Linked DNA regions of Oreochromis niloticus. The protein of the gene in region 1 interacts with the protein of each later gene in a pairwise test. Links are inferred from orthologs where the notes say so. Each region holds a gene or a part of one and is shown on either strand. Other genes may lie near its edges.

The links.
Region 2: the proteins of nme7 (region 1) and zbtb48 interact in binary tests that used the Homo sapiens proteins (3 or more experiments, as listed by UniProt). The two-hybrid records come from large-scale screens. The link is inferred for Oreochromis niloticus from reciprocal best matches to the Homo sapiens genes NME7 and ZBTB48.
Region 3: the proteins of nme7 (region 1) and neflb interact in binary tests that used the Homo sapiens proteins (3 or more experiments, as listed by UniProt). The two-hybrid records come from large-scale screens. The link is inferred for Oreochromis niloticus from reciprocal best matches to the Homo sapiens genes NME7 and NEFL.
Region 4: the proteins of nme7 (region 1) and nab2 interact in binary tests that used the Homo sapiens proteins (3 or more experiments, as listed by UniProt). The two-hybrid records come from large-scale screens. The link is inferred for Oreochromis niloticus from reciprocal best matches to the Homo sapiens genes NME7 and NAB2.

What each region holds. Positions count from the first base shown.
Region 1 is NC_031986.2:33,233,105-33,240,334, reverse strand, and holds the start of nme7 (nucleoside diphosphate kinase homolog 7), read left to right. Parts: upstream 1-4,219; 5' UTR 4,220-4,506; coding exon 4,507-4,509; intron 4,510-6,730; coding exon 6,731-6,832; intron 6,833-7,033; coding exon 7,034-7,200; intron 7,201-7,230. Other genes in the region: zgc:172121 (homocysteine S-methyltransferase 1), read right to left, coding at 1-45, 125-204, 377-582, 665-847, 1,488-1,591, 1,670-1,827, 1,902-1,969, 3,787-3,945. UniProt on the Homo sapiens protein: Possesses an intrinsic kinase activity. Displays 3'-5' exonuclease activity with a preference for single-stranded DNA. Does not seem to have nucleoside diphosphate kinase activity.
Region 2 is NC_031984.2:8,011,716-8,019,566, forward strand, and holds the start of zbtb48 (telomere zinc finger-associated protein), read left to right. Parts: upstream 1-4,837; 5' UTR 4,838-4,913; coding exon 4,914-4,920; intron 4,921-5,211; exon of another isoform or gene 5,212-5,362; intron 5,363-6,241; coding exon 6,242-6,948; intron 6,949-7,074; coding exon 7,075-7,391; intron 7,392-7,463; coding exon 7,464-7,569; intron 7,570-7,644; coding exon 7,645-7,737; intron 7,738-7,823; coding exon 7,824-7,851. Other genes in the region: polynucleotide 5'-hydroxyl-kinase NOL9, read right to left, coding at 192-399, 487-951. UniProt on the Homo sapiens protein: Plays a critical role in transcriptional regulation and chromatin remodeling. Acts as a regulator of telomere length. Directly binds the telomeric double-stranded 5'-TTAGGG-3' repeat.
Region 3 is NC_031977.2:10,144,184-10,151,940, reverse strand, and holds neflb (neurofilament light chain b), read left to right. Parts: upstream 1-4,743; 5' UTR 4,744-4,808; coding exon 4,809-5,879; intron 5,880-6,033; coding exon 6,034-6,158; intron 6,159-6,278; coding exon 6,279-6,673; intron 6,674-6,773; coding exon 6,774-6,961; 3' UTR 6,962-7,352; downstream 7,353-7,757. UniProt on the Homo sapiens protein: Neurofilaments usually contain three intermediate filament proteins: NEFL, NEFM, and NEFH which are involved in the maintenance of neuronal caliber.
Region 4 is NC_031970.2:24,802,136-24,810,101, reverse strand, and holds the start of nab2 (NGFI-A-binding protein 2), read left to right. Parts: upstream 1-4,952; 5' UTR 4,953-5,880; intron 5,881-6,073; 5' UTR 6,074-6,178; intron 6,179-6,406; exon of another isoform or gene 6,407-6,443; 5' UTR 6,444-6,454; coding exon 6,455-7,366; intron 7,367-7,511; coding exon 7,512-7,645; intron 7,646-7,966. Other genes in the region: dnajc14 (dnaJ homolog subfamily C member 14), read right to left, coding at 1-55, 1,050-1,152, 1,335-1,495, 1,634-1,753, 1,996-2,102, 2,209-3,375. UniProt on the Homo sapiens protein: Acts as a transcriptional repressor for zinc finger transcription factors EGR1 and EGR2. Isoform 2 lacks repression ability.

The DNA of each region.
Region 1 (7,230 bases):
GCCTTAGCTCCGCTATGTGAGCAGGGTCGATACGACAGCATCCTCCTGTAAGACAGAGAAGAGCTGCTCAGAGAAAATGCTGCAAAAAAGAAGACTGAGTGTAAGAGAAAGCAGCTGAGCTCACCTATCAGAGCAGCGCCCTGCTTCACCCACATGTGGCTCAGATCAGGCGTCCATGCTGATGGTTTTCCTGATGTTTGCCACCTTTGAATGAAAAAAAGATCCTTTACTGAATCCATAAAGATATTTAGCAGATTTTCTTTTTTCTCTGTAAGGAATCAAGTTTTTATGGTAGATTTATGTTGTATTTACCGAATGTAAACACGTTGATGTGAGGTGTTTAGACAGTCGTGTGTTAATTTAGCTTCAGACTCACCCCCGCTCAGTGTCCCACTCCTCTCCGCTGTTAGGGTACACCACCCAGCTCATGTCTGAGGTGTGCAGTGGTCCAGCAGAGTCCAGCAGCGGCTCCACCACGTCTGGAGGACAGCAGTTGACTCCCACAGCGAGCAGCTGCCTGGATCTGCTGGCAACCCGCACGGCGTCAGCGAACAGGCTGCCGTCCGATATACACTTCTGGTCCTGATGGCGAGGTGAGTCATTGCGTGACTAACAACAAACTAATATGTATCTTTCACCATTGCTGTTCACCGGCAGTGATTACCTTACAGGAGAATGACAGCCAGGCTTTCGAGTTTGGAAACTCCCTCAGCAGCTCCACCACAGCCTCCGCCTCTTTGATGCTCGGGATTGTCTCAAAGGCGATGAGATCAGCTCCTGCAGCTGCTAAGCAGTCAATCTGAGGCCGGTGCCAAACTTTAAGCTCCTTCAAATAGATTAAAGACACCTGAGAACATTTATTCTCACCTGTCTCAGCAGTAAATGGATCTATAAACTTACTGAGAACAACATCAGAAGGATCAGGCAACATAAATAATCAAATCTGACCCCCTCGGATTCAGAATCGTGCAAAACGTTCCCTTCATACTGTGAATATTTTCAGTTTAAGGCACTCAAAGTACAATATAGGTAAAAAAGAAGTCCTTTCATATGCTTTTACATGGTAATATGAGCTGAACGTTTACCCAGAATGCACGTTTTAAAATATTCTCCAGTGGATTATCCAAAAATATGTAAAACATCCAGGGTACCTATGCTGGTTTTTGTTCCCCTGCATCAGAGATGTTAAACTGCTGCAGTTTTGCTGCTAATTATTAGTTTACAAAGCTTAAATGTTGATCTCTGTTGTACTCAAAATGCTTTAATTTTTTTTGTAACTCTGAAAATAGCAATAGTATTAAGGTAAAAAGTGTCATAGTGTCATTAAATATACTGAAGTTATTGTCCCAAAAAAGGAGGTACTTAATGATTTTTCATGGAACAAACCTAAAATATAAACAGAACCAGAACCGGAGATATAAACAACTATTCTGGGTAATCTTCTCAAAGCAGGCATAAAGTCCAGTACGTGGCTGAGGGGTACTTACTTCAACACTCATCTGCTCTGCGTAAGCTCCAGTGTACTCCGAGCCATCGTGCAGAAAGGCCCCGTACGGCCCCACAGAGCCTGCCACCAGGGGGCGTCTCTGCCCTTTACAGAGAAATAAAATGTGAGATTATATCACAGTTTACAGCCAGAGTCGGCTCAGCTCAGCGTAAGCTCTCCTACCTGACTCAAACCCCTTCACCGTCTCTTTGGCCAGGTGAACTCCGGACATCAGCAGCTCTCTGGCGCGTTCAGCGCTCACCTCCAGGTGGCTGATGAATCCTGGGATACTTGCCTGGTATGTGGCTGTCGTGATGACATCAGCACCACTGAGCAGGAACCTGTTCACACACACACACAGATTTAAGACTCTGAAACTAGAAAGTTTATTTACCAACACTTTGCATGGACACACCTGTAATGAGCATCTCTTATGGCCTGAGGATCAGTGTGCAAAAGCCTGGCGCTCCACAGAGGGTCTCCCTGCATATGTAACACACACACACATGAATTTCAGTCCAGATTCACAGAACAATATTAATAAAACATGTTATAATTGATCTGTAAAGACCAGATAAAAATACTATTCACGTTTTTACGTACTTTACATAAATAAAAACACAAGTTTTGGTAACATTTATTGGATATTTTACTCATGTCCCTATAGATCATGTACTAGAAAGTAACATTACAGCATCTCAACCTTCAGAGTTATTATAGTTTTATATTTTCTAATTAGTTTTTATTTGTATTTCATTTTGACGTTGTTTTGAAGTCCGTTCAGTTTTTTTGTTTGAAAATATTTACATTTTATTTCATTTTTATTAGTTTCAGTGTTTTAGTTTTAATCTTTTTAGTTTTTGTAATTATTATCTTTTACATTATAGGGAGGGAATGTGTCAAGAGGCCAGATTTGGGAAATTCAGTAAAGATATTACAATAAAAACATAAAAGCTGTGAAAATCAAGTGACTCACAGTCACAGACAGGCTGTGAGAACAGGGCCAGAGGATATATTCAGGTCATTTAACCATCTCTCTGAAAATAAATACAAAACCTTGCAGGTATTTTCTTCTGCAAAGATACAGAGTATACTCAGATCACTGATGGACCTTTGATGCTCAGGTTTGACTGACTCGCTAAAGTTCAGCAGGCTGTGATTCTAAGTAGGGAATAGCTGCAGTCTACCTCCCAGGTGAAGCATTGTGAGCAACTAACAAGTCCCAAGTCGCACAAGTTTCACCAGCACGTATGAAAGGAAATGCAGGTGTGGTGACGACTGGAAGCTTCTGGGGTGGAGTGGACAGAGTTTTTCTAACTTCACAAACAGATGTGCCGTAGACAAAGAAACTTAATGTAAGAAGAAAAAAAACTTCTGTTTTGTTTTGTGCACTTTTGAATCTCTTTAGGATTCAGTGGGTTGGACTTCTCAGGGCCACATATGCTCCCATCCAGGTGACGTCTTTTTCGGGGAAGGCCTTGCGTATTTCAGCAGGGGGATGGGAAACAGCATACTTCATCAAATCTGAGTCTGGGGGCTGAACTGCAGGCCTGTAGTCCAGACCTTTCATCAAGCAAAGCGTCTGGAGCATCATGAAACCAAAAACACAACAAAGCAGATTCAGGACTGCTGAGCAGCTAGAATCCTGTATCAGACCAGAACGGGATGACATTCCTCTCCTGATAAGTCCAGCAGCTGCTCTCCTCAGTTCCCAGACACATGGCCTCGTCCCACCCTTTTTTTTATAGATATGTTGCTGCCATCAACTTCAAAATAACCTTGTTGTTAATGTTTTTTTTCTTAAAATGGTACTCAGTTTTCTGTGTTCTATTTTGAATAAGATATGGGCTCATGATTTGCAGTCATTTCACTATGTTTTTATTTACATCTTACACACTGTTCTGTAGACTGTTGCTTTAATGCTTGTATTTAAATTTAACCCTAATAATCCTAACTTCAAATGTTATTTTATTTTATTGAACATTCTCTTTATTCAGAGTATTTGGCTACATGTTTTTATGTTTAAAACTTTAAATATACAGAAATTAAACACTAAACAGACTTTTCACATATTTAGTTTGTTGGGATCTGATAAGCCTGGCTAAGGTCTCTGAACCACAGCTTTAAAATTACTTTTAAATTACTTGTATAAGTCAGTAACACAACTACAAAACAAATAGCACAGCCACCATGGAGACATGGATTGACTGAAAATAGACACAAAACATCTCCAGAGAGAAATTAAATTAGTCTAATCAATAGAAAATGGTGACCTGTTGCAGGTTGTTTTTATGATTTACCTGCAGTTTGGCTCCATGCGCTTCCAGATCAGTTGCCAGTCCACCATCTAGGATCAATGGCCCTTCATCATTAACCATCTGTGTGAGAAGAGCAGAGGAGCCCATGGAGCAACACTTCATTAAAAAATTTACTGGAGAATTCTTTGCACTGCTTTTCATAAGAAGATCATGCAGTCAAGTTATTAACGCTGACTGCTCTGAAATAACACCCCCGGGCAGCTTAATTATTCACACAGATGAGAGTGAAGTGCAACATCAGATCCTTCATTTTTCACTATGTTGTTCTTCCGGGTAACAGTGCAATGAAAAGGTGCGTTTATGGCCGCTGAAAACTGAACTTCTTCGCAGCATCAGCAGACCGCCACTAGGTGTCCTCATACACAATAAATGCACAGTGTATTTCACCAGAACCCGACTCTTGCCTCGCTCCTTTACTTTAAAAACCACCACTGGAGCAAGACAGCGCAGCTTTTCTTTTGTACTGCTTTATAATTATCATGTATACAGTTTAATTAATGATATCCATCCAATGATTTATGACTAATATATTACATTTTAAGGTCTGTATAAAAACAAATAACAAAAACTGTGCTGAAAGGTCAGAATTCCCATGAACACGTGAATGCACCTCTGCAGTTACTATAGAAACGAAGTACGGCTAATGTTTGCTAGCTGACAACAGTGCGCTGTCACACAGAGTTTACAGGGATGTTTTAAAAGATGGTGAGTAAAGGTTCCCTCCTGTCATCAAACCGGGGGGCGTGAGGGCTTCGGTGAAGGTAAAAACTTCCGTTAGAGCCTGAAACAGGTTGCTGTTTGCTACCGTTAGCATAATAAACACAAGCTAGCCGAGCAGTTCTAAACATCAGTGCTTCAGGCTAACGGGTTAGCCGTTAGCTCCTTTAAAAATATCATTTATGGCTTATACACAGTTTAACTACAGATACTACAGGTAGCTGTGTGGTTAACGTCTAACGGTGAACATTAGCTGTGATTAAATTAGCTAAAGGTGTAGCTGAGCAGGTGCTTTTAATGCTGGTAAACCTGGCATCAAACATGTTTCTGCTCAAAGAGTTTCTATCCATTCAGCTGGTGCCCATGTTTTCTGTTTATTCTATTAACTAGGCTGAGTGGAGGAGATGGTCTGAGCTTTTAGTTGTGAGAGACATCCTCATCTTTCACATGGTGTGTTAGACGACTGATTAATGCTAAACTGCAGACTGGTTAATCAATCAATCAAATTATATTTGTGTAGCACCTGTAGGAGGTGGGTCCAGATACTTTACAGAAAACAAAATGCAATGAAACAGAATATGAGAGGAAGAAAATTATGAGCATGTTAAAAATAACTGAAAACATAAAACATTACAAAGTAAATAGCCTGAAGTGCAATAAGACTGTTGGTATTTTAAGAGCTAATCGAAGAAATAGGAGATATAGAGTGGCTTAAAAGAGGGGGAGGAGGGCAGTCATTTACTATGAAAAAATAACCCATTTTGAATTCTTCTTAATTAATCAGACTAACAGCACCAAAACACTGTTACTGATTTATTTGTCCTTGAAGAAATTGTATTCATTCATCCTACTTTTTACTGCCTCTGTGCCTTTCCAGTGGTGCCATCCCACATTGATGGAGCACTGCTTTGAATATACAGACTCAGAAAAGTAATAGTAGATTTAGCACTGATGTTTTGCTTGTTCGGGATAAGACCCGGATCATCGCCAGGCTTCATGAAGCAGTGGTGCAAGAGATAGGGAGCGTTTTCTTTGCAAAACCAATTGGATTAATGATGAGCAGTAGACCAGGAAACACCTTCAGCAAATCATCCTTTAAACATGATAACATTGGCCTGGTGGTGATTAGGACAATCACTGCAGCGAAATAGTCTGTGAAATCACTTCCTGTGTCTTCCTAGCTGCTTAATCTTGATAGGAAACGGCATGAGGAAGATAAGGAGTGTGGAAACACGAACTTCAATGTCCTAAAGATGGATTTTTTTTATTATTATTAGTCCTTTATTTATTCAGGTAAAAATCTCATTGAGATTTAAAATCTCATTTCCAAGAGAGACCTGGCAGAATGATGAATGCAATGCATGGATGAATGCAATGATTTGCAAATCTCATGAGCCCATATTTTATTCGCTGTAGAAAACCCAAAAAATGATCTTCTCTGTGGTATATTTGGTTTTGTGATGCTCCAAATGTTTTCGTTTGGTGAAAGGTCTGATCTGCAGGAAGTGACCTGCAAACCAAATCCAGGCTTGTGTTGCTCAGTGGCAACAGTGCTAACCGATCGTTATCCGTGTTTACTGAATTATTTTTGGTTGACAAGGTGAACTGAATAAAGTCTGCTACTAGTCAGGTGAGCATACCTGATCATATTGAGTCATAACATTTCTGTGCTTAATAATAACAGAAGCCTTTGGTTTGTAAAAAGCCAGATTCTGTAAATATTGACCACCTTATGTACTGCATTCATTTTCTGTTAATAAACACATTTGTGGAAATGTACCAAAATGTAAAAATAAACCTGAGCTGTGTGGATTCGTGCCTCCCAGTTTACATCTGTGAGGTTTGCATATTCACCTGAACATTGGCCTGTGGTTTCAGGCGACATGGTGACCTTTTAAAAGCTCAGTATGTTTAATTTGTTGGCACAAATTCAGGGTTTTCCTGGCTCAAACTGGGCCTTTGGGGTTGAAAAAACACACATGATTTGTCCTCATAAGTGAGTTAGTTTCAGTTTTTTGAAATAAATTGTCAATTTTGTGTTATTTTTGATCATTTTATAATGAGAAATGTCTAATATGCTGGAGGAAATTAATCATGTGGGTGAAAAAAGAATCAGTTGATTTTCTTTTGGCTTTTTTGGGGTTGCCAGAAATTCTCCTTTGCAGAAAGAAGCTTAATATCGAAGTTATATTTATTTATTTATTTTCAGGAGGACCGGTTTGCCTTTCTTACAGAGTGGTATGACCCCACCTCCGCCCTCCTGCGGCGTTATCAACTGTTTTACTACCCCAGAGATGGCTCAGTAGAAATGGTACGCTTTTACCCCAGTGCTTACTTTTTGTCTCTCTTTTTTCTGCCTGAAGGTGTGTTTATGAATGTTCTTTTTTTAATCCAGAATATGAATACCTTGTAATGGAAATTGTAAATAGCTTATTTGTTTTAATTAACTCTATATTGATGAAAATTTCAGATTTTTTCTTTAGCATTTCTGAAAAATATACCTGTTTCACAGTTCGATGTAAAGAACCAGCGGATATTTCTGAGAAGGACCAGATACGATGACATCCATCAGGAGGACTTATTTATTGGGAATCGAGTGAACGTGTTCTCACGACAGCTACATCTGATCGATTACGGGGATCAGTACACAGCAAACAAACTCGGCAGTAAAAAAGAAAGGTATGATCATTCATCTAACTTGCATTTGGG
Region 2 (7,851 bases), on another chromosome or scaffold:
ATTATAGAATTATTAGCCTAAAAAAATCTAGACTTTGCAAAGAGAAATAAGGTCCAGCTATGTAGAATTCACAGGATTTTTGCCTATATGATATGAATTCTAACCAATCAGACTTCCTAGTGCTATATTTTAACTGAAAAACCAATACAAATGCCTAACTTCAAACATAAAAGAAAAAGTGTGCTGCTCACCTTGTGGAAGATACTTTTGGAGGATGTGTGATGCCTCGTTTCTACTTTCCAACGCTCTGATGCTTTCTAATCCTCTAATACTCAGTGGACAATGTGACGCTGGGGAGAAAAGCGAATATGACTGCTGACCCTCTTCGATGGTAAATCCCATAACTTCTACACGACCATAAAGACAGGTCAGAAGGCACTTCCCGCGGAAACACAGCGTCTGCAGGTAAGACATGATTAGTCACAGAAATGAATTGGAATCAGATTAAACATCTACATGTCCAACTAAAAATCAACTGATGCATACCTGATCCTTCTGCATGACAAGTACTGTGCGGTTCTGTCGATCGTCTCTCTGCGCACAGTGATGCAGAGCCTCTCCCTCCAATCTACCTCTCCGGACATCCTCAGTGTTATCTGAGGTCTCCATACCGTTCCCATGCACTGACTGGGAATACTCCTTCCAGTCCTGTGAGTCATTTGAGTCATTGTCTATGGTAAACACTGAGCTTCCATTAGCCTGAGCATGTGTCTTCTTAATTCCAGACTCAGAAGAGCCATTCTTGTGGTTAGAGACAGACTTCACTTTATTTTTCAGCCTCTTTACAGATGGTTTTTTCCTTACAGACTCCTGGTGGTCCTTCACCATGCTGATCACCACAGGGCTAGAGTTTACATTAGAGGAACTGACAGGAGGTCTGCACCGTTTTCCCTTCGCATCTTTCCATTTGTGAGATTTATGTTTTACCTCTGCGTGTTTGTTCACTTTCATGATTGTCAGCAGTCATTCAGGTACAAGAAAAATGAAAAGGTGAACCTGCAAAGAAAAAGATGCACTTTTAATGGAAACAAAGCATTTACACTCAAGCTATTATTAGTTTAGTTCTGTGGAACCCATCTAGTTTACTTAAAGAGCAACTTTACTTCATGGCATTTAACTTTTGCACAGAGATTTTTATTGTAATAATATGATAGTTATTATTATAATAATCTTCAGTTATTTTTAATAAGTGTTCATCTATCCTGATGCCTGGGTATTTATGGGTTGAAACTGTTGCAGTCAAGTTCCCGCTATGGTGTTAAACATCAGTTTTAGCTTCCATCACAGGTAGCAGACTGTTTATGCTTAAGCTGACTTGTCTGCTTATATCTTATTGAGTTCAGTTAAATCCACAAAGAGCAGTAAATGTCAGAGTAGCAGTGGCGCAAGTCAGCTGATCACAACACACACACACACACACACACACACACACACACAGAGGAGCTGGTGAGTGAAAGGAGAAGGGTGGCTAAGCTGCCATCCCTGCTGGACAACATCTCCTACCCCATGCAGGAGACTCACAGCACTGACTAGCTCCTTCAGTGGTAGGCTGCGGTTCCCACGTGTGGGACTAATAAAGGTTATCTTATGTTATCTTAAACAAATCTACTGGAGCTCACAACACAAGTTTTTACATGTGTTATTCCTAAGGGACGTTTTCCCCCAATGTTGTAGGCGATATTAGGGTTTTGTTTTTTTACATTTGATCTAACTTAAGTATTTTTCACCTCTTTGAGTCATTGTATAAGACTGTGAGTCTTTATAAGACAGTAAGGCTGTTTTTATTATGTTTATTTTTATTTTAAAATGACAAGGCACAGAAATTTACATCAACACTCCATCATTTAAAATTAAGTCATGCAGGCTCAGTTTCATATGCAGGTTCACAGCATTTATACCATAGACCAGATAACCATATTAAACAAACATTGAAGGCCACTTACAAAAACTCAAAAGCCCATGAACACAGCTGCACTACTTCAGGTTACTCTTTGTTTACGTTATTCATTTAAAAATTGTGTTTACTGTTTCGGCTGCTGTAACACAGGAACTACTCGATGTTTGTGATGAATACAGTACATCTTCTCTTAGGTTAAATAATCCTGATAATAGTCTTGTTTTAACATATCCGTTAGCCAGAGCTAGCTTTCTTTTCCAGCCACAGCTCAATATAAATGAAAACTAAAGCCAATTATGTCGGTTTTCCACAATTTAATCTCTCAAAATGTGAACAGGGCAATGAATAAAATCACCTTCACGCAGTATGACAACAATGCAACCTCAATTTTAAACTTGGGTTGAAGTTATCACGACCAACTTCACCTACCACCGCCTCAACAACTAGCATTAGCTGCTAGCTAAGGTGGTTGCTTCCCGAGAAAACGTTGCTTTAAAACAGATGGCACAAAGCTGTAGTTATAATCCCTGTGCTTTGGTTGCGAACATGCACAGGTAATGTTTATAATTATTTTAAGAGACACTAAAGAGCTGGTCACTTGTAATTGCAACGGTGCTAACAGGCTAATACTTACATGTGTGAGCCGCAAACAGACGCCAGTCCAGATGGTCAACTATGACTTTACCCGAAGTGTTATTATCTGCTAAAAGAAGCGTCTAACAACTTAATGTACTTTTTTAGTATTTTTTCAATACGTCGATAATATTACAGACAAATGGAGCCACGAGTAAGAATCTGGTTACGTCTCAGATTTTGATTCATGTGATCGTTAATATTTTAATATTGTACGACATAAAACATTCCCGGAGTGCGGTCGCATAAACAGCGTCACATCCTGTTCACTTCGCACTTTTTAGGGGCCTACAAGAAACGAAAACAAGGTGCACGAAGCTAGGCTTTTCTGTTTTATCACTCTGCTCATGTTACGCCCGGATCGTGTGCAGATTACAGAGAGGCTCGTCGTGTTTACTTAGTTTTTAATCGATAATTCAAACGCGAGCTGAAGCTGTAGCTGTCTGCTGGACAGCGCGCTAAGGGAGCGTCTTTAAAGAGATGTGCTAGGAACTAAACGTGGAAGTGCAAAGTAGGTGGGAGTTTGCAATTATTCACGAATGCTTTTTCGAATATGTACACTGAAAATGCACTAGGGTGTGTTTAGACTTTATTTTAAAGGCAGCTCAATAAATGTTGTAAATATAAGGACACAAATTTAAATCTAAGGATTATTTAATTTGTCCATCTAATATTAAGAGCTATGCTCAGTACATACTTTAAAATGTTTTTTAAGAATATTTTTATACTGTCAAATAATCAGCAGTGTTGGATAGTTTTAGTTATTTATTTTTTAAATACCTTTAGTTATTTAAATTAATAAAAATACAAATCCAGCAAGTAAAATCAATGTAAGGAGTATAATCAGGAAAATGTACTTGTAGTATTAAAAATAAAACTAGTGCACACAAATAATTACTGCTATTAGCTATATGATTTTTTTGTAATTGTTTTTTTTGTTTTCTCCTAAAATGGATTAAAAAGGTGCAACGTGTTCATCCCAGTTTCCTTAAATCGAACACCAGCAGCTTGCTTTATCTCACAATTCATAAACTAATTGTGTTCTGTCTCTTGTCATATAAGATAAATAAAAGCTGCAAACATCCTCACATCTAAAGAGCTGGAACCAACATATACATTTTGTTATTTTTGCAAGAAACCTTAACAATGAATAGACTTAAAAATCTTTGCATTAAATAATAATACTATCAGTAATGTTTACAAATCTCTAGTAATTATGATTTATAATGATTTCAGGGTTTTTTTCAGTCGGAAAACATCAAAGATACTTTTATTTGATAAGCACAATATTATATTTGTTGCTTCTGCTTTATGTATATGTTTATAATCTCAGCATCTTTGGGATTTTAATCGTTTAAATTGAGCTGATAAAAAAGTTGATAGAATTTGTTTAAGATATAATATAATCGAGCATTTTAAAGTCAGACAGTCGACTGAACACATCCTGCGGTATAGTACATATGTCAGTCTCGTCTTGTAATTCCTCAGTGTGATTGTTGCTTAAAAATACTACTTAAAGCCTTTTTAAATACTGTTTTTAATGTTTTAAAATATTTTATTCATTAGAATTCCTTTTGGTGAGATACCTGCGTTTGTAGCCGGTGTTCTTAGAAACCGTCCTACTTTGGCAAATGGTCCTACCCGTATTATAATTTGACGGTGACTTGTGACTGGGGCTACGTCCACACGTACCCGGGTATTTTTGAAAACGCAGATTTTTCTATGCGTTTGCACCTTTCGTCCACACGTAAACGGCGTTTTCGGTCACTGAAAACGGAGATTTCTAAAAACGCCTGCCAGGGTGGATATTTTCGAAAACTCCGTTTTTGCATTTACGTGTGGACGAGGAAAACGGAGAAAACAGCGTCAAAGGTGTGCGCCTTTTTTGACGTCACACTGTGCGCCACGTTATTGTTTCGGTGAAATGAATTTCTACAATACTGTTAATTGTACTCTCTGCAGTGTTTAAATGCTTACATACACACACACACAGTTACTGTCCCTCCACACATAGGACTCTGTTCTGCTTCTATGCCCCATCTTTGTTTAGTATTTCCCACCGAGGCTTCTAGACTTCTGTTTGGCCAACATTTCTACACGGTTAGGAATATATCGCCACCTGTCGCTTTGGCATGTTCCTAGCAGCGTCTTCCTTCATTTCTGCGTTTACGTGTGGACGGGATTATTTTTTAAAACGAAAACGGAAAATCTCCGTTTTCAAAAATACCCGTGTACGTGTGGACGTAACCTAACTCTAACCATAACAAATATTCACAATGGGTTGTGCGCATGCGCAGAAATAACGAGTAGGTAGGGTAGGTAGGATGGTTAGGTAGGATGGAGTCCCAGAATACCCCGGTGTGTTCCTGCGTTGTGTTTGACAATGAAAGGTAAAAAGAAAGACCTCCAAGTAAATAACTTGCCCGCTCCAGCTCCTATAACCAAATATAAACAGTTGGGACGAGAGTTAGCTCAACCCAGTACACTTTCCAAGCTAGCCAGAATTATCTGTTCATGCTAGCATTAACGGTGCCTACACACATATGTGGCACACATGTACTACATATTCATAGGATCTAGTAAAGACAGGGGTGAAGATGACAATAATGAACTAAAAACACAATCAGAAACATCAGGGTGGATACAGATATAATTAGTGTTGGAAAAGAAATTACACCAACCTCTACCACAGTGGAATTGTAGAAAAGGGGAGAGGCCAAAGTGGTACCCCAAATTTATAGGTTGCACCAAAGAAGAAGAAGAAGAAAAGGATTAGGAGGGGCTCTAACTGATAATGAAGCTAACTACAGGCTTGGAGGTCCTAAAAGTCAGGTATAAAAGGAATGGTGTGGGGTTTTGAACACATTTTGTGTAATTATAACAATATGTAATTTATGACCCGGTTACACATTCAAATGTATTTTTTTGACCTCACACGCACACTTGATTCTTCAGTCAGTGCAAATACAGTACTGTGCAAAAGTCTTAGGTTACCTCTCCTTTATATTTTGCTATGAAAACGAGAAAAAGATGCTAAGGGTTATTCAATGAGGAAATACAGGCTATAAGGCAAAAACAGAGTTTTTACAGTTCTGTTCTATAACATAGCTCGAACTCTCATAGGCAGCTTTCTTGACATTTCTTAAGTAGTTTTCAGTTTTCAATTACGACACAAAAGAGCCAATAGATACTGAAAAAGGTTCAGATACTCCGTAACCCACTTAGCTCACATAGTTTGATGTGAATGCCAAAAATCCTAATTACATATGCAGCGACCCCTCTGCTTTGCAATTTAAAAAACAGCTGATTGTTCACTCTGTCAAATGCTTTGGGCGGATCTAAAAAGCACATAAAACTGATGTGTTCTGTCTCTTATATTTGTATATATATTTATGTACAGATCAGTATTACACTTACTCTTAAAACCAACTTGATTATCAGTTGTTGTATGCTTTTGAAATCTGTGTTCAAACACTTTACAAAATACATTTGCCAAGGCAATTGGTCTCTAATTATTAATACTAGTAAATCTTCCCAGTTTTATCTTTCATTACTGGCACTAACAGAAATGATAACATGGAAGCAGGTAAAATACCATCAGTTCAAAATCCTGTAAAGCACTTTTAGAGTGACATGTGGATTTTTTGACTAGGTGCTCTGCTGATAATTGGTCTAAACCACACGCTTTGTTTGATGTGTCTCATTTACTAGCCATCTACAGTGAAGCAGGAGGGATGTCTGCAGCAGAGAGCAACCATGCGCAACGTGTCCTGTCCGCCCTGAACCAGCAGAGGGCAGTGGGCAGGTTTTGTGATGCAGCATTGAATGTGGGAGACGGGGTAGTGTTCCTTGCTCATCGCAACATCCTCGCCTGCTTCAGTGAACTCCTCCAGCAGTCAAACATGCCTTCTGCAACAGAGTTCTGCCTGCAGGGATGCCCCAGCGATGGCTTGGAGCTGCTCCTAAACTTTGTCTACACCGGAGAGCTAAAGTTGGATCCTCACAACCTGGACAGAGTCCAGCAGGCAGCAGCCAGCCTGTGCGTACCAGAGGCACTCACACGCTGTCACCAGTTCAAGGAGACCTCTAAGGAGCCTGTGCCTGTCAAGCGTAAAAGAGGTAGACCTAGAAAGTCTGCCTCAGACATCAACCCAGTCAAAGAGAAGAATTTAATTAAAGTCACGAAAGACGAGCCCACCATTGATACTGCTGCAGCCAGTTTTACCACTGCTGCCACTACTGCAGCAACCACCACACGCTCTGGCCGAGTAGTGAAGGGCCCCAGGCGACTAGTGACTATCGATGAGAGCCCTACAACTGAAAACGAGTTGACCCCGCCTCTTCCTGTGGAGAAAGAAGTTGGTGATGCAGTTGTTGAGGAAAACCAAAACTCAGATCAGCTAGCTGGTGAAACTGAGGTAGAATACAATAACATAAGCATGAAAAAATATTTCAATGACGGGGCATTTGTGTGGATAATAATGAGTGTGTTTTTAAAGAGGAATATAGGGGATTTTATTACACCTGTCTCCTGTTGTTTGCAGGTAACGGAGCTGCAGATTAACGACAATGTTATTAGCCAGGTAAGTGGGGGAGTGGAAGCAGAAGACGATAATGATGACTTGGGTATTCCGGAGGAGATTCCCGAAGACACAGATGAGGAGTATGTGCCTGCTGCTGAGCCCGCTTCCTCAACCACATCCCCGTCTACGTCGACCAGACAGACATGCAAGGCCCAGAGTCAAACAAACAAAAACAAGAATGGTCAGGCGATGGAGGACGACTCTAAGAAGGCCTCCGTGCAGTGTCCCATCTGCTTCAAAGCCTTCAAGAGCAAATACTACCTCAAGGTTCACAACAGGTACAGGGTGTCACCTTTTTTTTTTCTTTCCAAATGCTGTTAAAGGAGTAAACTAATGTCTCATCTCCACAGGAGGCATACAGGGGAGAAGCCCTTCGGTTGTCTTAAATGTGGAAAACGGTATTACAGGAAGGAGAACCTTTTGATACACGAGATGAGAGACTGTGCTAGTGTGCTGGTGAGTGAAGAAAATCACACTTTCTCCAACCCTCACTATGAAGAATCCTCAGTGTTTTTACTTTTATAATTCCAGACGTACACCTGCCTCACTTGTTCTGCTACATTTAATGCAAAAGAAGCTCTACGATTGCATACTGTCACCCACACAGGAGAAATGCCCCACAAGGTACAGCACACACCTAACAAAAAGCATAACTGAGTATGTCACAAACCTGAAGTGAATATAAAGAATGTCTTCATCACATTTTGCAGTGTTCAACATGTCCTGAACAGTTTATGT
Region 3 (7,757 bases), on another chromosome or scaffold:
GGCAGCGTCTGCTTCATTCTTTATGTCTCCCGTGGTCATCCTTGACCAAGCGATGGACCTCTGTGCGTGCACTCATCCACTGATGCCGGTTTCACCACACTCAATCAGTCATGGAGACTGACAGAATGGGAGCAGACAAGGATCTCGGGTGAGATGGCTGTCAGTGATGAGAATACCGGCGCACTGTTGACTGGATGGTGGATTTATAGAAAACAATAAATTACCTCCATAGGTAACGCGCTAATGTTAGAACAGCAGCTTTAGTGGTAAGCACTGTTGCCTCACAGCTAGAAGGTCCTAATTACGAATCCACCATCTGATTGGGGCAAAGCCGTGTTGCGTTCGCATGTTTCCCCGTGTTTTCGTGGGTTATCTCCCGGTACTCTGGCTTCCTGCCAGGGTCTGTCTCTATGTGTTAGCCCTGCGATAGACTGCTGACCTGTTCAGGGTTTACCCTGACTCTCGCCCTGGGACAGCTGGGATAGCCCACCCACCCCCACAACCCTGAAAAGTGTAAGAGAATGGATGGATGAACAGGATGTTCTGTGCAACCATATTAAAGATTTTTGTTGGTGTGTTTACCTCTTTGAGCAGTGGAGTTTTGAGAAGCTCATGGTAGGCCTTGGCGGACTCCTCAAATTTATCATGTTTCTGCAGATCCAAAGCTTTGTGATATAAAGCGAATGCCTCTGCTTCCTATAGACAGAAACAAACGGGGGAATACAACTGACTTAATGGGATGTACAGAGATGAATGACTGCATCAGCAGATAGAACTAATATTGCTTATTCATCAGCATATAGTATGTAGCCTACTTGAGCCTCTTTTGTCTGACTCTTGCTGTTTCTCAGGGGGTCTTGAGACTCGTCTGCAGCTGTCGAAGCAGCATTTAGTGCTGCTATGCGAATCTGTGTAAAAGGGCAGCGAGAAAACGCTTTACCATGCAGTAATCTGTCTTAGGCAAGGGAGTGTGCGTAGTTACAATGAGGATGTAGCTGACGCTGTGATTCAAGATCTTACCATTTTAATATTTGAAAAGCAGATCTTCTGCCTTCACGGTTCGCAGATTTTAACTGGATACACAGGAAAGAGACATCGATGAATGCAAGACAAAACAAAAATTACACTGCAAAGCCATTTAGTATGTCCTCTGTGTCTTTTTTATTTACTGTTATCTATTTATTTGAATGTATGTGAGAGATTTGGGCGTACACAACCTACAACACAGAAAAGCAATGCGAGCCGGCGTTTCTATCACGCCACGTAATTGCTCTTTAAAGAGGAGATTACGACCACTTGGGACTGACTAGCTTACATTACCGACAGGCCATTCAAAACCAAATGTGGTTAACTTAGCTCTCTGTAAACGATATTTCGCTCCTAGCAAATAATATACAGAACTCTGAAGAGTAGATGCTAAACGTAGCTCACAGTTTCTCCAGCTAGCCGAAATTAGCAGGGACGTTTGTGAGCTAACTGTAGCTTGTGCTCCGCCGGGCGACCGTCACTTCCAGAGCTCAGCGACTTACCATTCATTCTCAATTAAACTGCACCTGTAAAGTTTCAGGTACTCGAGCAACGTAACAAACCCTGAAAACTCCGCGGCTACGAAGCACGAAGCAATTTAGAAACTTAACCTATTCATCATCCTTTGTTGTTGTCAAACATGGATGAGACCCGAGAATATTTGCGTCACTGGATGACATTTGCTGCCCGCCAATCAGTAACGTGGTCACTGATTGGTCAATACCCAGTGGGCGTAATCTTAGGACCAACGATACTGTATGATATTGGGCGACACCGTCTGGGTTTGCTTTATTACTACACCGGCGTACGCCTGCAGAAGGGGCAGCGCGACATGGCATTTGAAGTGTCGGATATTCAGAGGCCAATACAAGGAAAAGAGCACGCCGACTGAAAGAGCATTTATTACAAAGCTACACGCTATCTAAGGAATACACAAAGGTAGCCCAATTGTTGGAATTAAATAGAATATTGTATATTATCCTAATTTGTGCAACAGAAACCCAACCTGCCAAATGCGTACTCTTGCATAGTGTTATTTTAAACTACATCGGTGACCAATCAGGAACCTCTATATATAAAATTGCAAATTAAAGGTTGGGGCAAAATCAGGTCGGTCAGAGGGATGTACACTTGTTATTGGTTATATCTTTGTTTTCCAAATGACGATGCTCCGCGAAATAACATTATATCTTTATAATAGTGTCATTCGTACGGAAGCGTAGAGCTGCCACCCAGGCAAAAGAAAAAAAGAAGTATATCACGTTATAACGTGAAAAGTTTATTGTTCTAACAAGATACTTTTCACGTTTGTACAATATACTATCATGTTTGTACAATATACTTTTCACGTTTGAACAATATAATATCACGTTATTACAATATGCATAAATATCACGTTATTACAATATAAATATCACGTTCGTACAATATAAATATCACGTTCGTACAATATAAATATATTGTACGAACGTGATATTTATGCATATTGTAATAACGTGATATTATATTGTTCAAACGTGAAAAGTATATTGTACAAACATGATAGTATATTGTACAAACGTGAAAAGTATCTTGTTAGAACAATAAACTTTTCAGGTTATAACGTGATATACTTCTTTTTTTCTTTTGCCTGGGTGGCAGCTCTACGTTTCATTCATACATTCGTATATTTTAGTGGTTAATTAAAATGGGAAGAAATGGGTAATTTCATACTAATTGAATAGACTTTTTTCTCAGCAAGTAGCCCATTAAAAAGCCCCTCTGCGGTCTCAAAGCCTCAATGGGGCAGCAGGCCATTTAAACAGCACGATATGCATGAGTGGCTCGTTACAATACCTGTGCCAGCTTCCTAAAAACGAGCATGAACTTTTAATATGCAGAGATATGCTTATCCCCTCTTGACCAAAGTTAAAATAACTTCATCGGAAGCTAGGCTACCCGTAGTATGTCAAGTTTATGCAGAGGTCCATTCGTAGTGTGTACTAGTGTCATGGTCCACAGTTAGATGGGTAAGCAAGTGCACAGATTTGGTAAAAATAAAACTGAGGGATTTGGGAACAGCCTATTGCAACAAATCCTTTGGGCAGAAAAATCAGTAGCCTTATACATGTTTGCTTGTATGTTTACTTGTTCTCATCAAGTCCAAGCTATTAAATCTTCAAACAACTGTGTACAATCATACATACACTACACGAGCAAAATGTCCAAACAAAATGTTGTGTTTCTCCTGAAACATTACTGACTTATCAATTATGCACTAATAATGGCAAAATTTATTAACTTGATTTTTTCTTGATTTGCGACACTTCAAAACTGTATGTAAACTGCAAAACTAACAGAAATACACGCAAAGTTTGTAGTAAAGTGCATAGCCATCTCATATTTTTTTCCAAGTACGTCTTTAGACTGTAGTTCGGCCTGTGCACTATAAAGCTGACTGCCCATGGATGGACGTGCATATGTTCTTGAGAATCCAATTCCCCATATTTACAAGATAAATATGCAACCCTGTTTCCTGGAAAGCGTGGGTGCTGCAGCATAAGCAGCACGTGTGCATAATATATAAAATGTTGAAAATGAGACATGTTGTTTTATGAAAAATATAGCTTCATTTTGAATGTAGCACCAACCACATACAGCCCATGAGTATTATCTTGCATATTATTGAATTAATTTATCATATATTTATTTATTCACCAAATATACAGTTCATATTGGCTAAATCAGGAGATGACAAGGTGTAAACAAGAACATTTGTTATAGATTAGTGCTCCCAGTCTTAAATATTTATAGCCCTGTTTCCATCATGGAAACTTTCCTCACGTACTAAGAACCATTCGAGTGACTCGTGTTTTTTCCACGGCGTGGATCAGGGTCTAAATCAGGGGTCCCCAATCCCAGTCCACGAGGGCCGGTGTCCCTGCAGGTTTTAGATCTCACCCTGGGTCAACACACCTGAATCACATGATTAGTTCATTACCAGGCCTCTGGAGAACTTCAAGACATGTTGAGAAGGTAATTTATCCATTTAAATCAGCTGTGATGGATCAAGGACACATCTAAAACCTGCAGGGACACCGGCCCTGGTGGACTGGGATTGGGGACCCCTGGTCTAAATGAAGCTCTGGAAAATCAACATGATCAACATTGTGACATGCATGGGAAACAGTCAACCACTAGAGGGCAAACTTTTATCTATAATCATGATAAGATCCAGTTTGGTTTTTTTCACCCTTTTTTCAGCACCCCAAGATGCTGAGCTGATTACCTTAGCAATGGTTTGCTGTGATAGTTGGATCATAATAGAAATTTCACTGATACCTTGTCAGACATTGCTGACAAATTGTATAAAATTATGCAAAGCAGTGGCTAAAAGATGGTTTTCCCTTTATTCTGTAGTTTGCACAGATATGTGATAGAAAGATGAGGTCTTTGTCAGGGTTTCTGATGAAGAACTGCAAGAAAACTGCAGCTTCTAGGTGTAACAGTATATCATCTTTGTCCTCACTGACCCTGTCTGTTGCAGTCCCTTGTTGCTCTGTCGTTGCTTCTCCCCCGCCTCCTCCATCCCTACACTCATCCTCACCCACCCCATCTCTTCCTTGGCTGAGACCGGCTGGCTGGCACTATTATCAATTCTTTCTGTCAGCATGCCTGCAAAGAAAAAAAAAAAAGCTTACGTCACAGTCATTACTGGCCCTATAAAAGTCAGAGTGATGCAGATTCACTGTGCAGTCGGCCCGGCAACATTCACAGACACAGAGCAGCCCGTCTCACTAGTCATGGCTTCCGCCGGCTTTGACCCTTACTTTTCTTATGCTTACAAGAAGCGGGGAGTTGTGCGCAGCGGAGGATATGGGGCTGGTGGAGGAGGAGTAGCTAGGTCTGCCTACTCCACCCACTCTGCCCCAGTACCTTCCTATGCATCTTCACGCAGAAGTTATCCAGCATACACCCGAGCTACTTCCAGCTACTCCACCCTTCTTTCTGCTCCTGTGTTTGCAGCTACTCCTGAGCTACGCCTTGACCAAGCAGCCCAAGTCAGCTCTGAGTTCAAAGCAGTAAGGACCCAGGAGAAGGCTCAGCTGCAAGACCTGAATGACCGCTTCGCAAGCTTCATTGAGAGGGTCCATGAACTTGAGCAGCAGAACAAGTTGCTGGAGACTGAACTCCTGCTGCTTAGGCAAAGGCAGACGGAGCCATCCAACATTCGGGCCCTGTATGAGCATGAGATCCGCCAGCTCCGTGTAGCTGTGGAAGAGGCCCGCCATGAAAAGCAAGCAGCCCAGGACCACAGGGATCAGATGGAGGATGTGCTGAGGAACCTGCAGAAACGGTATGAGGAGGAAGTGCTTGGCAGAGAGGAGGCCGAGGGCAGGCTCATGGATGCCAGGAAGGGAGCAGATGAAGCCACACTGGGCCAGGCCGAGCTTGAGAAACGAGTCGAGACCCTGCTGGAGGAGCTGGCCTTCCTGAAGCGCCTCTGTGAGAGTGAGATTGCGGAGCTGCAGGCCCAAATCCAGTACAGCGCAGAGGTGTCAGTGGAGATGGAGGTTGCCAAACCGGACCTGTCTGCTGCCCTCCGTGACATCCGAGTGCAGTACGAGAAGCTGGCACAGCGCAACCTGCAGTCGGCCGAAGAATGGTTCTGCAACAAGATGAATGTCATGACAGTGGGCGCCACTCGCACCACGGAGACTGCACGCGGTGCCAAAGATGAAGCTGGAGAGTACCGCCGGTTGCTTAAAGCCAAAATGCTGGAGATTGATGCCTGCCGCCAGATGAACCAAGCTCTGGAAAACCAACTACAGGAAGTGGAGGAGAAACAGAGTGCCGAGATTGCTGCACTGCAGGTGAGGCACAGAAACAAAGGAAGTGCAGTGACCTCTGTTTCTTTCTTGTGATATAAAAAAAAAGAAGAAGTGATCCTTTGTTATTTTCTGTTACTCAGAGGAGTCACAGAGCAGATATTTAACTTATGTACATATAACATTTCTCTTTGTACAGGATACAATACGTGAACTGGAAGAAGAGCTGAGGGCAAACAAAAATGACATGGCTCGCTACTTGAAAGATTACCAGGACCTTCTGAATGTGAAGATGGCACTGGATATCGAAATTGCTGCATACAGGTAAGTGCCTTATACATAGTGTCCCACTGTCTTATATACTGGATGGGTAATTGTGGAATACACAATAAAATTGGCAATTAGGCATCTCATCTTCTTGTAATGTGTGCTTTATCCTATCAGGAAGCTCCTTGAGGGAGAAGAGAATCGTTTGAATGTGGCAGGACCGATTTCTGTCACTGGGTACTCCCAAGCCATGTTTTCTGCTCCGTCCTATGCAAGAACGCAGATCTCCATGCATTCTCAGCTGAGCTCTGCAGCTCCATACCTGCTGAGCTCCCGCCTGTATACTACATCGCTGCCCACAGAGGAGACAATATCTGCGAGCCAAGCACAGCAGGCAGAGGCTAGCCCTCCCGAAGAGGAGGAAGAAGAGCAGGTGGAAGAGGAAGAGAAAGCTGAAGAAGAAAAGGAGGAAGAAGAGGCAGCGCAGGAGGAAGGGGGGGAAGAAGAGGAGGAGGAGACAGCAGAGAAGGAAGGAGACGAAGAAGAGAAGGAGGAAGAGGCAGATGCAGAAGGTTAGTGTGGTAAATTTCTATGTATACCCCTGTGCGTGTCCCTGTGTGTGGGAAACTAATGTGACCTTTTATCTTTCTTCACCTCATTTTCATCGCGAAGAGGCTGAGGCAGAGGATGGAGAAAAAGAAGACGAGGGGGAAGGAGGAGAGGACGGCCAGCCTCAAGAGGAGGAAGATGCCGATCAGAAAGAAACAAAGGGCGATGAAGAGGGTGAGAAGGAGGACGAAACTGGAAAAGAAGAGGAGGCTGAGGAGAAAAATGGGAAAACAACAGATAAAAAAGTCTAACTTTACTCATTTTAAAAACAAAGTGCTAGCCTGTAGCTAAAAGGATGTTCCAAATCCTCTGGTGCTCCTATTTGCTCTGATGTCTCATTCAAACCAAATGAAAATCTCTTAAAAAAGTGCTGGTGACCTTCACCTCTGTGTGGTCGACACGAGTGCCTGAAAGCATGTATGCACAGGTACACTCTGCAAAAGATTCTGCAAAAAAAAAAAAAAACATTTACAAAGAAAGGATTTGTCAGCGGTAGGAATTCTGCTTTGTGAAGAAATGTTTGCTGGTGCTTTACCTTAACCAAAATATGCTTATGTAACTGCCTTGTATGTGCAATAGCCTTCAAGTCCATCATGTGCTGCATTAAACTCCAATAAAGCCTTGAAGCCTTCTTAACCAGAAGCTATCTCCTGGATTTTAATTTTTCCAAGCATTTGCAATGGTGTGTCAAATCGAGTAACATTTAGCATAAATAAAATGCATAAAAAGAAAATCATATTCAGCGTCCAAGCCCTGCGACTCACTTGCACATGCCAGGATGGAATTTTTTACTTCCTAATTAGCCCCTGAGCTTCTTCTTCTTTCGTTCAGAGTCTTAAAGCAAAATGCTACTGTTGCACTAGAATGTTAATGGAGGTTAATGGAAAAGTACGGAAATGGCAGCCAGAGGGCCTTGCTTCTGTTCACCACGATAAATCAGCTCACAATTGACTGAGAGGAGGAGGGCTGCAGCAAACCAGCACGGTCAGCAAGTCTGGATCATCTTAGGTCTTATTCAGCAAAAAAAAGGAGAAAAAAACACACCAG
Region 4 (7,966 bases), on another chromosome or scaffold:
GAAGTCCTGCAAATCAGCTGGGTTGGTCGGACCTGCCGCGTGCTCCGACGGTGTCCTGAAAGATAAGATGGAAATTTAAGTTTGTCAAGTGAAATAATGTTATTGCGTGGAGAGGAAACTTTTTGACTTTAATTGAAATGAATAGTACAGCTTTCTTTATTGTAAACGTTGTTATTTCAGCAATACACAAGGGGGAGCTCCTCCTCCTGCCATGCATGTAAAATACACACACACAGATGACAGACTGAGAAAGAAATAAAAAGAACAAATATCAAACATGTTTACATTAATCTAATTTAAGCAAAGTCAGACATTTTAAAGCTTATTTATTTTAATTTCTTCTCTAGTGCCAAAAGGTTTGCATTTTCCCCTCTCTGCACATTTAAAAGGAAAACTCTCCAGTCTGCTGCTGGCAAAGGGCAGATGTTTAAAAACAAGCGGGATAAACCTGAGCCTTTGTGTGGTTTGTTTGTTTAGATCGCACTCAGGTGCAGACCAAAGCAACCACACAAAGACACTTTGGAGGTGGTGGTGTCAGTACAGTTCCAAATGAACTCCAGATCAGCTCGTTTATGTTGTGAACATGATCCGAGCTCGAGCCAAACCAACGACCAGGTGTGCGTTGCAAGTTTGAGCCATGCATGCTTTAAATTCTTGAGCGTGACAAAGTACTATTGACAAGAAAAGGTCTGCACGGGCCAGCAACTAGCTGTGAAATGAACTTTCCAATAGTCCAGAACACAGCATCATCTTCCTGTATTTACTTTTGTTGCTCCCACTTCAGTCACATCTGGCCAATAAGTGGAGTAAACATTGTCATGTGGTTTGTAGGGATGCATTTCGGTTGCTTGGATTTTTCTCCATGTTGCGTGAAAACAAACAAAATCACAGGGAAAAGTTAAAAACTCATCAACTGATGCAGACCACTTAATGAGTTTGTAACTATAGGTGTGAAAACGCCCCTAAGTGTGATGGAGAGGGATCAAACTGTTTGTTTTGCTTCATAAATATTAGATACTGTATCCAAACGTTCACCCAGAGGGATGTACCTGTGTCGTGTGGCATTGCTGTTGTTCTTTGAACCAAAGGAGATGTGATACGGGACCCGGTGTGTATCAGGAGAAATTCCAATTCTCTGGCAACCTGCCCACTCTGAAACGAGATAGTATCATAAAAGGTCACATGACTGAGAGTAAAATGTTCAGCAAGAAAAACCCGTAGCTTTCAGTAGCCTGTCGAAGTATCAACAAAGATCGCTGGTAAATGCAAACTCTGAGATGCACTAGTGGTTTGTTACTAACGAGCCGGCCAGGTAAACAACAGCTGATGCTCACCTGTAATATCATACACCTTGCCATCCATACAGGCAAAGTATGTGATGCGTAGGCCCAGCATGCTCGATTCAGCCCACAGGTCCCCTTCCTCGGCGCTATGGTAACGGTTGCATTCAGCACAGAACCGGGCCTCAGCGGGTTCACGATCCATCTCGAAGCGCCTTCACACACACACAGGAAACAAAGAAAACACACATGTGCTGAAAGCCTGCAACACAAGATTAGCTACAATTTTTTTTAGAATCTTTTGATTTCATGTGCAGCTGTGTGAAGGTGATGCTGGATGTGTAACACCATACTTGTGTTTGCCTTCACACTTGGTACACATCATAGTATTCATGGCTTCCTTCAGGTCATCCTGCAGTTTAGTGAGAAACTCGTTCATGGACTTTGAGAGCTCAGTTGCTGCCATGCGCTTCCTGCGTGAGAACGAGTAAGACAAGTTGTTGATCAGAGATAATGAGTGAAATGTCAAACTTGCTAAATAACTGCACTTGAGTGAGGTTTGTTTGTTTTACCAATAAGAACTAAAAGAAATAACTAAAAAAAATCACTGCATTAAAATAATTGACAAGACGATTTAAAATACAATAAATAATTGTGATTAAAATATTTCTTTCTTTTGTGGTTTTATTGTTGATTTTTTTCCCCGTGCACTTACAACTCATACTCTCGTCGTGTCTCTGGATTACTGACAATATCCCAGGCAGCTCTGAGCACTTTGAACGCCTCTCCAGCTCGTGGGTGTTTATTCTTGTCTGGATGGACCTGAAAGAGAACGGATAGAGGAAAAGGTTGCATGAGTAAAGAATCAAAACTAGTCATTACAGCAGGCATGTAATAGTAAAAATTGAAGTATTTCTGATTCTCACACCTGGACAGCCAGCTGTCTGTAAGCCTTCTTCAGCTCAGTGTCAGTGGCATGCACCTCAACACCGAGAACTGTAAAGGGATCGAGCTCATCCTCTGGTACCTCAACCAGTGCCAGCAGTCTCTCCAACTCCTGGCCTGGTTGAGCTCTTCCTGCTCTGCCAGGTGACCCCGGTGCGGATGGCGGTACATGACCATCCCTCCTGAATAGGCTTCGGGCTTTCTCCAGCAAGGACACTATCCTCTTCCAAACGCGTGACTCCTGAAAAGCCGTCCAATAGTGCTTCCCCCTATCCCCACCAATACGAAGGAAAACCCCCTTGGCCCACTGCGATCCCAGAATAACCAAAGCACAGAAAAATGTGAAACAAGATAAGGCAACTGTCTTTATCCACTTTACTGACCTAACAGTTTTATCCACCACACAAGCTCCTTTGCACTTTGCCCACTTCAGAATCCGGATCGCATCTGCCTTCATTCCAGGAACATCAGTGACCTTCACAAGGAGCTGCTGCCCAAGGTTGTAAAGTTTTACAACTCCAGTCTCCACTCCAACTCCACAGTTGTGAGTTAAAGTGACAATAATCTCAATCATCATGTGGATGCAAGAGATGCACCAGAAGCTCAGAGACTCTGACAGCATCTCCTTGAACGCTAAGATGAGCTGGTTTCCTGTCCTCCGCCGGCCCCGGTTCTGCTGATAGTGGTGGTGGTTACGTCTGCGGGTCTGCTTGTGCCGACCGCCACTTGACATAACATTTCCTCTCTGAATCTGCTCTAAAACTGACCCACCGCTCCTCAGTTTGCACTTCCTTCCACTTCCCATGTTCCTCCAACCAGACTCCCCATTCATGTGCTGCTCCTTTGCTGCATCATCCTCTTCTTGGTTTATAACCTGTGAGTTCTCATTTTCTGTAGTCTTGTCATGCTCAAACTCTTCTGAAACCTCCTCAATATCATCTTTGGCCTCTGCTTCACCAGCCCCAAGGTCTTGTAGAGTGGCTGGGTTTGGAGTTTCCTGAGATCTGAGATAGGCTGTTTTGTCCTCCTGCTCGCACTCATCCTCAACCTCACACTGACTTGAACTGGTCACTGAGGCCGAAACACCATCAGGGATCTCCTCGTCAGTGTCCACAACATCCATCTCTTTCTTAGCAGCTTCTCTTTCCATGTTCCTTACAGCAATTTGACTGAAACGCTGTAAAATCTGACTTTCATTAAAGAGTCCCTAAATCCATAATTTGAGGCCACATTTTCCCCAGGCTCTCATAAAAAAGCGAGACTGGGGGTTCGCACAGGTCAAGTTCAGGTCCACCACATCAGCAGCCACTTGTAGGTATCAAAAGGCTTTTGCACAACTCACATGATGCACTGGAGCTCCTGAAAAGCAAGAGATATGAATCAATCTCCAGGTTTTGATATCACAACAAGTCTGTGTCACCCTACTTAATATAAGTGAATCCTTGTTCCTGTTATTTTTGGCTTTCTGATTTCATATATAACCATAAACCATGTGCCTCTACCTCACACTATCCCTAGCGTCCCTAACATCCACTTTCCCTCCTCTGCACATCTCTACTTTGTCTCTCTAACTTTGTTTCCAAGTGATTTTTTTTTAAATGTATTGGGTTAAATGCAGGAAAAAACCTTAGACGTTCCAGACAACTGAAAAGTAAGAGGAGCATTACTTTAAGACAAATGCTTTGACACCAGAGCGCATAATAACTGCTAAACAATAAGTTTTAAAAGAAACAAAAGGGGGTAACTACAAATTTACAAGTTACGCAGTCAGTGAGCAATGTAGCTGCACGACTTCATCGGTACAACTGTATATGTATCAAGTAGTTACAAATACCCTCTTTGAAGCTACTTTTACGCGTATTTATGCAGATGTGAAAACAGACTACATGCAGTTACCCTGCTTTGTTGTTTGCTAATCCAGTTAGCCAAACAAGAACGCAGTGTGTCTAAAACCCGACCTTTAATAAACAACCTTTTAACTTTTCACAGTAAATAAAAAGGGTATAAAGAAGTCAGTTAGACCCTTAACATGTTAACTGTGTTCAAATCACCAGATGTTTTAAAAGGCGGATAATGTTAGCAGGCAGTCCTGGTGTTAGCATGAGGAAGCAGCCAAGCAGGATGACAGACAGGCGCTACGGGGGCTAAAATTAGCTTGCCTCTGGATAGTTAACCTGGCAACATTTCGACTAAATAAGGTCACAAACGAAGACACAACAGGCGACTGTTAATGCTTTTAGCGAGCCAGCAGTGAACTCTTAGCTACTAGCAGGACTAGCTGAAATATAAACGCCTGTTTCCCCTTCCTGTGTGGTTGGTTTGGCTACTAACGCCAAGACGTGTTTAAACACCGGGACGTCCAGTCCAACAAAGAAGGCAAATAAAATGCGTTTTGCATTAAAACAAATGAAATGTCATATATACCTCTCGGATAACTGTATAACCTTGTTTGTTAACAGACATCCAAGTGTCGGTGTTGTTTTGTTTTTTTTAAGCCACTTCTTCTTCTTCTGCGGCTCCTTTTCCCACTTTATTGCTACGTCCTCTTCCGCCTCCAGCTCCCTCTTCGCGGTTTGCGCGCGGTTAAAACACAACAGCGGGACTCTGCTGCCATCTAATGTTTTGGGAATAGCTGACCGTTAACGGCTAACTTTAGAAATGTGGGTTAAGAAACCCAGCAACCCTGTTTTTACCCGAGTCCTAACTTAGTTCATAGTAGCCTGCTAATCACACTCGGAGGAAAAAGGATAACACATTTTCCTTAATACTAAGATTTGCGTGTTAGAAGCCCACGCTTAATGACCACGATGTTTTGGTCTGGCTTATTTTTTTCAGACTCCATCTTATGCTCACAGTAAAAGGGTAGTTGGGTTGTTATTTGTAACATATGAATAAATCCCTTATTTCTAAAGTGCGTGGTGTAGATGTACCTAAAGGCCACTTAAAACTGCAAATGGATAGGCACACAATACATATCTTAGGCCATCACTGTGCAATAGAACAATCATATAAAATGTGGCAAACAAAAAGGATTGGAGATGCTGGTGTTGGACTTTGAGCTTCTTTCGAGATACTGTTAGTCAATTTAAAGTCTCGATTTGGTGACTTGGTCCTTTACTTTTTCAAACATAACAAAACAAAATACAATACTAGCATTTAAAAACTGCTGGAGCTTCACCCACTCTACCACCTCCTACATAAAATGGGGGGAAATAACAGAACTGGTCTTCAGTAAAAATTCACATCTGTCACGTCAGTTTATTCTTATCTATAGAGGTCTGTATAGTGTATAGCTGGCTGCTTGTTTTGGGAGTCTCTGACATAGTAAAACGGTGGGAACCCCCTAAAGCTTCTGCATAAAGGACTAATCTTGAAGACGCAGAGGGTTAATTTCAAGCCCCCACCACCACCACCCACATCTCCAATTTGAAAGCCGCCTCTCTACCGGGAGAGGAAGGCTCTTTTTCGGTCAGATGGCGTGCTGCAGTCCGCCCCCGTCATTCTCCAGCCCACACAGACAGCAAAAAGGCAGCCAGCAACCAATACGGTGCGCCGGAGGAGGATTTCTGCCAGTGATTTCAGACGAGGTAAGATACGCAAAGGGGATTTACTACGCCAATCTGCGCCGAGGAAGCTGTCGGCAATAGGTAAGACGGTAAGAAACGAATGGGATAATAACTGCGTTGTCTTTGGGTGCTCTCCTCTTAACATCTGGATAGTAAACAGTTGCCTCCAGTCGATGGCTTTATTTGAAATGGAGCCAATAAAACGAGTGTTTCCACTTTAGTGCAGTCTGAATGCGGTTCTGTCTGTGATCAGGAGATTTTAGTTTTTATTTCTTTTGTCAGTATTGCTCCGGCAGATCCGACCCGTGACATCGGTGGCTGGAGCGACACCCTTGCGTAATTACGCCGGTTTCCTCTTTACACATCTGTAAAGCTGACCTAAAGAAGGTAAGAAAAAAGCGATTTATGTATATTCAAAGGTTAAGTCATGAAAAATATAATGAGTAGATAGGAGCTTATTCTGCCCCAAGGGATGCTTAAACTTGCTTTTAACTGTTTATCAGTTTTTATTATTTCACTATATTTGTAATTTGTATTCTGTATATACTAGGTGTGGTCCAGATGCCAAAGTCTTTATCTAAATAATTAACTTGTACAGGATTTCTCCATCTGCAGGTTCATGTCTTTCCTTTCTCCTGCCTAAACTTTCCAGTGCTGTGTGCCATGTCTCTGCCACGCACACTTGGTGAGTTGCAGCTGTATCGGGTCCTCCAGAGGGCCAACCTGCTGGCCTACTATGAAACCTTTATCCAGCAGGGTGGTGACGATGTCCAGCAGCTCTGCGAGGCAGCGGAGGAGGAGTTCCTGGAGATCATGGCACTAGTTGGCATGGCCACCAAGCCACTGCATGTGCGTAGGCTGCAAAAGGCCCTCCGAGACTGGGCGGCGAACCCTGCCCTTTTCAGCCAGCCTGTTGCTAATGTTCCTCTCGGGGGCATCCCGCTCTTTAAAGTTGATGGCACTGGCACAAGTGGATCAGCTGGCGGGCCCAGAAAGTCTGTGAGTAATGGGCAGCCAGGATCCCCCTGTGAGAGAGAGGATCGGATGTGCCTTACACCAATGCACAGCGGGAGTCCAAGAAGCCCCTGTTCCCAGGCCTCTCCACAGCCCCCAGACACACACTACAGGGAAAAACTTTCTCCAATGGATCCACACTGGCTCAGCCCAGAGCATGATGGGAACTGCACTTTGGGTTCTGCACCTGGAACAGAAGAGGAGCCATCCAGCCCACCTCTGCTGTCAACATGTCCTCCCGGTCCTTCCACGTCTCCGAGCCCCTCTGCGTCTTTCACCCCGGCAGCTCCGTCTGCCTGGCCCGGAGGACAGCTGGATGGGGAGACAGCAAGGGCCGTGGTGGAGACTGTGGAGAGGCTCCTCACGACCCTGCCTAGGTCAGATCCTGCAGAGGTGAAGACTTTGCTGAGGATGAATAAGAAGATGGCAAAGACTGTGGGACACATCTTCAGAATGGGGTCCCAGGACGTGAACAAGGAAGAGGAGATCCGGAAATACAGTCTTATTTATGGGCGCTTCGACTCCAAGAGGAGGGAAGGCAAGCAGCTCACACATCATGAGGTAAAAGCATCAAAGTGAAGATGATGTTAATGCATCGCAATATGTTTTATACCTGATTAAAGCTGCACTTCATACCAGAGTGCAGCTTTTTATCAAATGTCAATCAGTGTCCATCCCTTCTGCAATCAGTGTTTTTCCTTCTCAGCTGATCATCAATGAAGCTGCAGCCCAGTTCTGCATGCGTGACAATGCCCTTTTGCTGAGACGGGTGGAGCTCTTTTCTCTGGCTCGGCAGGTGGCGAGAAAATGTGCCTACACCTCCACGCTAAAGCATGCAAGGTAAGAAGACGCCCGCAGAGAAGAGCAACACACCTCACGCCTGTTGTGTTTTAATGGAGCTTGTGTACCAAGAAAGAAAAAAAAAACTGTTAGAGAATCAGGGGTGTAGCTTGAAAGATCCATAAAGTCCAGATCATTCGCAGCCGTGAACACAATGCTTATTTCAGACTGAGGAGCATCACGTGAAAAAACTTGAATGAAATGATTTTATAGTTTGTGTTTAGCATGTTCAACAGGTGATTTATGTGAGTCATCAGCCAACCAGTGGATTCATTTCCAGAGTGAACCTGGTTCACGTCTCAGTGGGAATCAAACTCCGAC